Linked DNA regions of Caenorhabditis elegans. The protein of the gene in region 1 interacts with the protein of each later gene in a pairwise test. Each region holds a gene or a part of one and is shown in the gene's direction. Other genes may lie near its edges.

What was found. The genes of interacting proteins can lie anywhere in the genome.
Region 2: the proteins of pho-1 (region 1) and gras-1 interact in a two-hybrid assay, tested with the Caenorhabditis elegans proteins (one large-scale study listed by BioGRID).

The regions. Positions count from the first base shown.
Region 1 is NC_003280.10:5,232,610-5,237,549, reverse strand, and holds pho-1 (Intestinal acid phosphatase), read left to right. Parts: upstream 1-1,703; 5' UTR 1,704-1,717; coding exon 1,718-1,813; intron 1,814-1,860; coding exon 1,861-1,965; intron 1,966-2,175; coding exon 2,176-2,271; intron 2,272-2,318; coding exon 2,319-2,498; intron 2,499-2,744; coding exon 2,745-2,840; intron 2,841-2,891; coding exon 2,892-2,984; intron 2,985-3,032; coding exon 3,033-3,150; intron 3,151-3,489; coding exon 3,490-3,662; intron 3,663-3,729; coding exon 3,730-4,017; intron 4,018-4,065; coding exon 4,066-4,129; intron 4,130-4,206; coding exon 4,207-4,247; 3' UTR 4,248-4,388; downstream 4,389-4,940. Other genes in the region: pho-4 (intestinal acid PHOsphatase), read left to right, coding at 1-171, 266-432, 670-810, 865-916, 1,003-1,097, 1,142-1,240; EGAP2.1 (DDE_Tnp_ISL3 domain-containing protein), read right to left, coding at 4,389-4,599, 4,651-4,801. UniProt on the Caenorhabditis elegans protein: Acid phosphatase required for normal growth and development. Specifically required for normal gut differentiation.
Region 2 is NC_003279.8:7,834,062-7,837,492, forward strand, and holds gras-1 (General receptor for phosphoinositides 1-associated scaffold protein 1 homolog), read left to right. Parts: upstream 1-1,746; 5' UTR 1,747-1,765; coding exon 1,766-1,873; intron 1,874-1,924; coding exon 1,925-2,141; intron 2,142-2,190; coding exon 2,191-2,430; intron 2,431-2,478; coding exon 2,479-2,651; 3' UTR 2,652-2,906; downstream 2,907-3,431. Other genes in the region: F30F8.1 (RING-type domain-containing protein), read right to left, coding at 1-123, 172-486, 531-707, 753-1,004, 1,050-1,138, 1,184-1,280; F30F8.9 (Letm1 RBD domain-containing protein), read left to right, coding at 3,003-3,079, 3,167-3,288.

The DNA.
Region 1 (4,940 bases):
AGATTAATCCAGATAATTTATGGATTCTTTATAATGCACTTAAGATTGAGAAACAATATTATCCAGCTCAGTTCAAACAATTCACACCATGGTACACTGACAGTTTGTTTGAGCAAATTGATATTGTCAATTCGCAGGTTCAAGATTTTCAAAATGGTTTGGGTTTGGAAGGTGAGACATGTTTTAATATTAACAATTTCAGAAAAAAAATTCGGAAGGAAAAAAAAACAAGATTCTTAAAAATTAAACTCATTCCAATTTCCAGGAAAAATGGTAAACGGAATCGACATTGGAAAGATTCTTCGAAAGATTCGTGGTGGGACTCTAGTCAATGACATCTACAATCATATGAATAGGAAAACGCAATGTTCATCAAATAATGGAAAAGAGTGTACTTACACGAATCGATTGAAATTTTTCGCTTATTCAGCAGTGAGTTTGCATAATTTTTGTGATTTGTTAACAATCGCAATATTTCAAATTTGTGATTCATATTTTGTGATTCTTATAAAAATAAACTAACTTCATATAGTAGCTTACATGCTTTCAATTTTGATAGAAACTATTTTGCACAACTTGTAGTATTTTCATTGAAGAAACGAAATCTTTTTTGAACAAATGTTATTTGAAAAAAGTAAATGTAAAAAGTAAAATTTTTGATCCTTCCAGCACGACACAACCCTCTACGCCCTTTTTTCATTGCTCGGTGTCGCCAAATTGGCTGTGCAGCCACGTGGATATCCTCTCTATTCTGCATGTGCTCTTTTTGAACAATGGCAGGATGTGCAAACGAATCAGACTTATTTCAAGGTGAGCTTCTAAAATAATCGATTAGTTTTAATAAATTGATTGATATTCTTTCAGTTGATCTACCATCGTCATGAAAATGATACTCTGAGCAATGTGATTACATCAGGTGGGTTTTTATTCGAAATAGGTCAAATTTCCAAAGAAATTCAACTAAAAGAATTATATTTGCATGTCAATTTTACGAAATTTTAGGAATTCCTGGATGTGAGGGTAGCGGCGACTATTGTCCAATGGCAGTGCTCAAAAACTATTCCGACGTTTTCAAACCTGAAATGGAAATGAACCAGGTAATTGGGATTTTTTAAGTTTTTAAAAATAATTAGGGTTTCAGTGGTGTGATGTCAATATTCTGAAGAGCACTTCAACTTCATCAATCTTCTCATCTCTTCTGGCGTTCTCAATTTTTTATTTATTTGTTTCATCTAAATAATCTTTTATTATATTAGAATAATATTGATACTTGTAAATAAAATAAAAAATGTATTTGTGTCCAACATATAAGTTTGGGGAAGCCTAAAAACAAAAAAAAAGCAGCAGTTCGAGATGGATCTTCCTCAGATGTGACAAGTACGACTATTGTAGAGTTACTGAAGATGCAAAATTGCATCAGCCGCGACTAGTTGTAGAAAAACCAAAATTCCGGGAACAAACCAACTTGAATAAAAGTCGAATTTCTATGTAAACTGTACTAAAGAATTGGACACTCATCAGTGGCATGATGATAAAGAAGCATTGATCATTATCAAAAAAAGAAGGAGACGAATATTGGCATCGAGTAGCCAACTGATAAAAGACATTACTACAATTTCTCCGGCATGCTCCGGTTTTTTGTTTCGTCTCTGAACTTGATTTTCATTGCACAAAACTCTAAATCACATTTTCCGCATTTTCAGGGGTAACTTTTACTATGGTCTCTGCCATTTCCATTGTGGCAATTTTTGCCCTTGAGGGTTTCGTGACTACATACTCTGATGGTACTAAAGACCTTGTTTTTGTTCAAACGGTTGGTAGAAGTTATCTCAAGAGAAGTTGAATTTTTCGAGTTTTAAGCTTTGGAGACACGGAGATCGTTCACCAACAAAAACGTTCAAAACTGATCCATTTCAAGAGGATGCTTGGCAATTCGGAGGTGGTGGATGGGGACAGTTGAGCCCGGTCAGTTTTGTGCAAATTAGAAGTATCTAAAATACATTTGGTTCTGAAGAAATTTTAACTTTTTTTGCTTTCCCAGCTTTCACAGATCTTTCAAATTCTTCTTCGGTCATTACTTTAAAGTTTTAGTGACATTTTACAAATACTCAAATACTTTCACAAATCCAAGTAGATATATTTTCTACAGCTTAAAGTATCAAATGCAATTTTCAGGCAGGAATGAAACAACACTTGAATCTTGGTAAAATGCTCCGTAATCGCTACGTCACAAACTACAACTTTTTGCCTAACAAGTACAACGCCAAACAGGTAATTTTATAGATGTGCACTTTCCGAGTGAAATTATATTTGTTAAGATCTATGTCCGGTCTACTGATGTTAATAGAACAATTATTTCTGCAATGTCCAACTTGCTCGGACAATACGGACAAAATGACAACAGTAGCACACCAGGCCTAGATTATCCAGATGTTGATGGATGGCCAGCTGGATATGTCCCAATTGCTGTGCATACAGTCGATGATGACACTGATCATGTGAGTGCTACCGTAATCCGATTACTTTAAAATGAATTGTAGACTTAAGTGACAAAGTGCTGGCAAGTGAAGTTTAAGACGATTAGAAAAATGATAGGGTGGTATGATTAATTTACCTGAAAATATTTCGTAATGCCTTGAAACTGAAACTGAAGGAAAATTGTACTTTGTCATTTTGATCACTAAGAGTGGCATAAAAGCTAGAGAGAAGACTCCGATATAGGAAACAAACTTAAATAATTTCAGTTGGGTAACATGGAATCTACATGCCCATTCAAAGATCAAGTATGGGAACTTGCAAAAACTTCCGATGAAGTTAAGAGCTTTGTCAACTCTGCTGATGTGAGGCTTATCAGTGACATGAATTTTTGACATATTTCGTGTCTATTTCAGGTTCAAGCAGTGCTAGGAAATCTTACGAATTACTGCGGACAGCCAGTTGACATTGATAACCTTTGGATTATCACCAATGCTCTTTACATTGAAGTAAAAAGAGTAAAGATCAAGTATGACCCATTAATATGATATTTGCAGCAAATTTACTATAATGCCACTCTTCGTACAAAAAACAATTGGTTCACTGATGCCTTCTATGCAAAAGCTGATGCAATTAATGATCAAGTTCAACTTTTCCAAAATGGAATTTTTAAAAGTAGGTAGTTACTTTTTGTTTTGGAATTTTTACATACTATTGTTATTATTTATCTTTGTAACTGAAGCTTTTTCTAAATAGTTTTAAATCGTATTAGTGATAAGAAAAAACGTATTTGTTGTGTGCTCGGCAGTAGTATCTCATTTCTTGACTAATTTTTTATTATCAAAAAAAAATCAAACTTTGAAAAGTTGGACATAAAATGACTGAAACTTTGACGGGAAGTTAGGTCAAATGCTGGTCAAAAATGGGCGCCGAGAAAACTTCAAATTTCCCCATCCTCTGAGCGACTCAATTAATTGAGAAAACAACTCATAAAAGTGTAATTTTATTTTTCAGCTGTTCCAAACATTGTCAACGGACATGATGTAGGAGTGTTAACTCGAAAGGTCAGAGGTGGACCAATTTTGAATGATATGGTTATGCATATAAATCTCAAATTGATGTGCCAGGGTCAGACAACTCCAAATTGCACATGGATTAATAATTTGAAGAATTACATTTACTCTGCTGTAAGTTAATTTTACCATAAAACAATGGTTCTAAATATTTTTAAAATGTTGAAAAAATATTTTCCAGCACGACACCACAATCTACGCCTTCTTCTCCGCACTTCTAATTGAAGAATACGCTGTAAAACCGTCTGGTGGATATCCATTGTATTCTGCTGCAGTCCTTTTAGAGCTTTACATTGATAGTGTCGACAAGAAACCATACTTCAAAATGGTATATCACGAGCAAGACGGAAGTGGATTCAAAGATGTGACTATGGGAATTCAAGGATGTCCTCAAAATAGTTCATACTGTGATTTAGATATTCTCAGAAACTTTGCCAATACTATCAAGCCAGATCAACCAATCGATCAGGTATTGTTTTTTTTTTGTTTTTGAATTTAATCATGTTAACTTTTCCAGTGGTGCTTAACCGATTTGAACAAGAGTTCCAGCTTTGCTACAGTCTCAATGCTCTTTATTGCAGGTAAACTTTACCTAAAAGCTCACTTTTTCTATTAGAAAAGAATCAAAGTATAATTCTAATTTTTAATTTAATTACAGCAATTCTTGCCATCAACAACAACTTCCTAGGACTGTTTTAATTGTTTTGTTCTTAAATTTGTAAATTATTAGCATTAAATTGTAATTTATTCGCTTCGTTCCAGTGAGATAAATACACGTAAGATCGTACATGGTTATACATAACCATTTCAAAAATAAATTCCCCCCGTAATAAAATTAAATTATGATGTCGTGTATGTCCTGAGCTCCTCCACACATTTTTCGAGCATTCGCTTTCCTTCGGTTTTTCTCACCACTTGATCATTGAACCAACTTTGGAATGCTTGCTCAGAATTGAGTGCACTTTCCGGATGATTTTTGCGAAGATTTGTGAAGAACATATCACTTGGGTTTGAATAGACTTTTGACTCGTCGAAGAATGTTGCGCTTTGACTGAAAAAAAGAAGAAAATTTAAAGAATAGAAATTTAAAGATGTTACCAACCTTGCATAAGCGGTGAAATTTTCATTAACAGTCTTGATCATTGAAACTGATGAATGTGAATTGACTTTTTCCATTTTAACTTTTTCAATTGTACTTGGCATCTCATCAGACATCACAACAGCGAAACAGTTGTTGGAGTTTGCTTCTTGACCTGAAACAATTGTTACAGTTTTAATGTATACGAGCAAGAACAACATGCCTACCAACGTGCCTACAAAGAGTTCTTAAATGAAAGGCAACGTACTCAACCAAGGCTGTGACGAAAGAGTAGGGGATCTTTGAGATGTTTT
Region 2 (3,431 bases), on another chromosome or scaffold:
GTACTCTGTTTGGTTCATTTGTTGAAATGCTTGGACGGTAGACGAGGAAGATGTACCACCTTGTTGACCAGTTTCTGATGATTCCCATAGAGTACCCATTGAATTCGGAATGACACGAGAATTCTAAAAAATGAATTTAATTTAAATCCCATTTTCTTAATTTTTTTAAACCATTTGCTGTTGATCAAACTGATTTGATGTTCCTTGATTCATACTAAGTTCATTCAACTCTCGCCGGAGAAGTTCTTCCCTCTCTTGGGAACGTAGACGAGCAGTTAATTCAGTGAACATGTTAGGAAAAACCGTTTGACCCGGAAGATATGGAAGATCAATGTTTTCAATACTCTTTCCGCTGGCAATGAATGGTATTGTTTTATTTGGATCGATGACGTCATTGTTTTGAGAAATGTTAATAGCAGCATCATTTGACTCAGAAAGCCATGTACTTTGTTCAATTTGTTCTGCTGGAATCAATACACTTGGACGCTGCAACTAAAAAATTTTGAGAGAACTGCAAAGCTCTAATTTACCGGGAACTGATGACGCTGGACCATTTCAAAAACCCCATCGAGATCAGCGTTCAACTCGGAAGACGGAACTTCACCCTGATTGTTGGCTCCATGATGAATATTTAAGTTGTTCACTTCTCTTATAATTTCAGCTGGAGCTTCATCCACTTTAGGCTGAACTGAACCGAGTTTGCGTGTCTGTCAATAAAATTCATTAAACGGGAATTAAAAGTTAAAACCAACCAGGACAGGAATTGATTGAGATGAAAGACGACGTTGTGATGAAGCTGCCAAAGTGGAACTGGAAGGAACAAGCGCAGTATCTAAGGCTGGGACAGATTCGGAATTCGACAATTCTTGGATTGGGAGAAGCCTTTGTGTGAACGAGTTTCTCACTCCAGCAACTTGACTACTAGTGGGCACCTCTGACGATGTAAATGATTGAATTTCCTGTCGAAGAGATTGAGGTGGTACTTCACTTGAGCGAACCATGTTCTGGAAACATATTTTATCAATCAGAATATGAAAACAAAGTAAAACCGTTTGCGCGATTTGCTGAGGAACAGAAGTACTGGTTGGTAGAACTGCTTCACCAGAGAGTACAGGTGGAGGAAGCGGCTGGGATAAATCTGAAAATCGACTTGAAACTTAGGTCATTAAAAGTTTCCACAAACCTCTCTGATTACCAGCGAGATATCGCTGAGGATTCATACAGAAATTCCTCGTAAACTCATTTACTTGTGCTATATATTCAGCATAAGAATCATTCATCGCGAATGATCCTTATTTTGACAAAAATCAAGGGAATTTTCACAAAAGTAGGAAAAGTATTTAGGAACGAGTTTTCGAAAGCTGAAATTTCGAAAGCGTGTCATGTGTTTGCGTGTTTCAGTAAATACCGTAACCTTCATATATTTCAACAACAAATAAGAAAAGGTGCGCACGCGCTAGTCATTTGTTTGGTCTTTTAGTCGTTTATTTTTTTGCATGATGATTGTGTTTTAGTCACTTTTTACTTAAGTTTAATAATTTTATATGCTTTCTTCTAAAGTTATTACCGAATTTCCCATTATAAACTTTGCGCGTCGAATCTGGCGCTTGCGTACATGTTTCTCGTCTCTAGCTTTTCCTTTCATCTTCTCACCAATTTTACAACTTATCGACTTTGTTTCGAGTCTTGTGTTGTTTAAACATTTAAAAAACTCTAAAAACATGTTTTTTTGTTTAATATATGTTATTTCAGAGTTTCTGCTTTTATGGATCACATCGACGCTCATAGTGCGGTTTCCACGAGTTCGAGCTCTTCAAAATATGATACGCCGGATGACAATATTTCTGAACAGCGACTATTGTGTGACGCAAAAGTAATTATTTGATTCTCCATTGAAGAACAACCATAATATTCGTTACTACAGGAAGAATATCCACTGAATGATTATCTTTTCGATGGGATCAATCAAGAATCCGCACAACGGAGCCTTCTTCTATGTCGTCAAACATTTGAAACTTCCTTTGGCTTTGCTCTCCAATCATATGTATTCAAAAGAACATCTTCAAACAGTTACGAAAGAATAACTTATGTGGATTACGTGTCGGCTGATAGCCCAGCTGATCGCTGCGGGATAACACGAGGTATTCAATCATTTAATTCAGCTTTTCCTGCCAACTACTGCAATTTTAGGCGACATGGTCATTGCTGTCAATGAAAAAAGCGTCGTCACTGCCTCCCATGCAGAAATCGTCGAATCAATTGCTCAGTGTCTTCAAGTCAGTCTCGTTCTGGTCTTCAAAGATGTAGCAAGAATCGTGGAATTGAGCATGCGGTCGATTCAGTTACGATTCATGCTCGATGCAAAAATTAGAGAATTGAGGATGCTCGAAAAGACGGAAGAAGATTTGCAAGCATTATATGACGATGAACGTAAGTCGAGTTTACGGTTATTATTTTGATTATTTGTAACAATTTTAGATGGCAATGAGGAGGAAGACGAATCACTTGAAAGCACGCTTTACGAACTTGATGAGGAGCTAAAAAATGTACAAAATCCACAAGAAAAGGAAGCAAACGGCACTGATTATCGCCATCTCATTCGCATCAACAGTAGCACGTCTGTTGGAACTCCCCAAGTCACGCGTCTCTAGTAAAATCAATGTCTTTCATATTTTCACGTTTATCTCTGAACACTCATGGGTAAACATGTATACTCTAATTATATATTTCGATCCCTGGTACATAGTTGTACATATATGTATTTTAACTTCCTGTCTCCGCCCAAAATTTGCCATTTTATTCCCATTCCAGTCATTTTGATTCCCACAAACCTGTGATCATGGTTATGATTCTAGCCTGCCTGTTATACTATTAGTTTCAGGAAATAACATGAAGTTTTATCTACTATTCCTGACACAATTATTTCAATTATCCATGAGGTTCTGTGCCTTTTCTACTTTTTCGTTTGTTTTTCCTTGACAAAACTACTTTTTTTCAAACAGATGCACTCATTGTCAAGGATTCTTCTTCATCGCAGTAACAGTGTGCTCAATTCGCCTACTTTTCTTGTTGCTGTTAGGTAGACCTTTTCATCATTAAAACCTGTTTTATTCTGAGTATCCGTTAAATTCAATATTATCCCTCTAAAAAATGTGTTCTACTTCAGACAAACATCAGCCGGTCCACCTCCAGCCACTCCAGCTAAAGAAGGATCCTTGACCTACAAGTATGAACAATTTATTGGAAAATGGCCTAAAGTGTTGGCACTTCACAGGACTGTTCTTGAAGGTGAGGGAGTTCTCCGATTAACTTACTTACTTTTGAAATTCAAAAATGACATTTTCTGATCTTTTTTATTTTTATTCAGAGATCTTGACATGCTCTCTTAAAGTCGCACGGATTTATTCAGATGGGTCTCGGCGCAAAGTTTA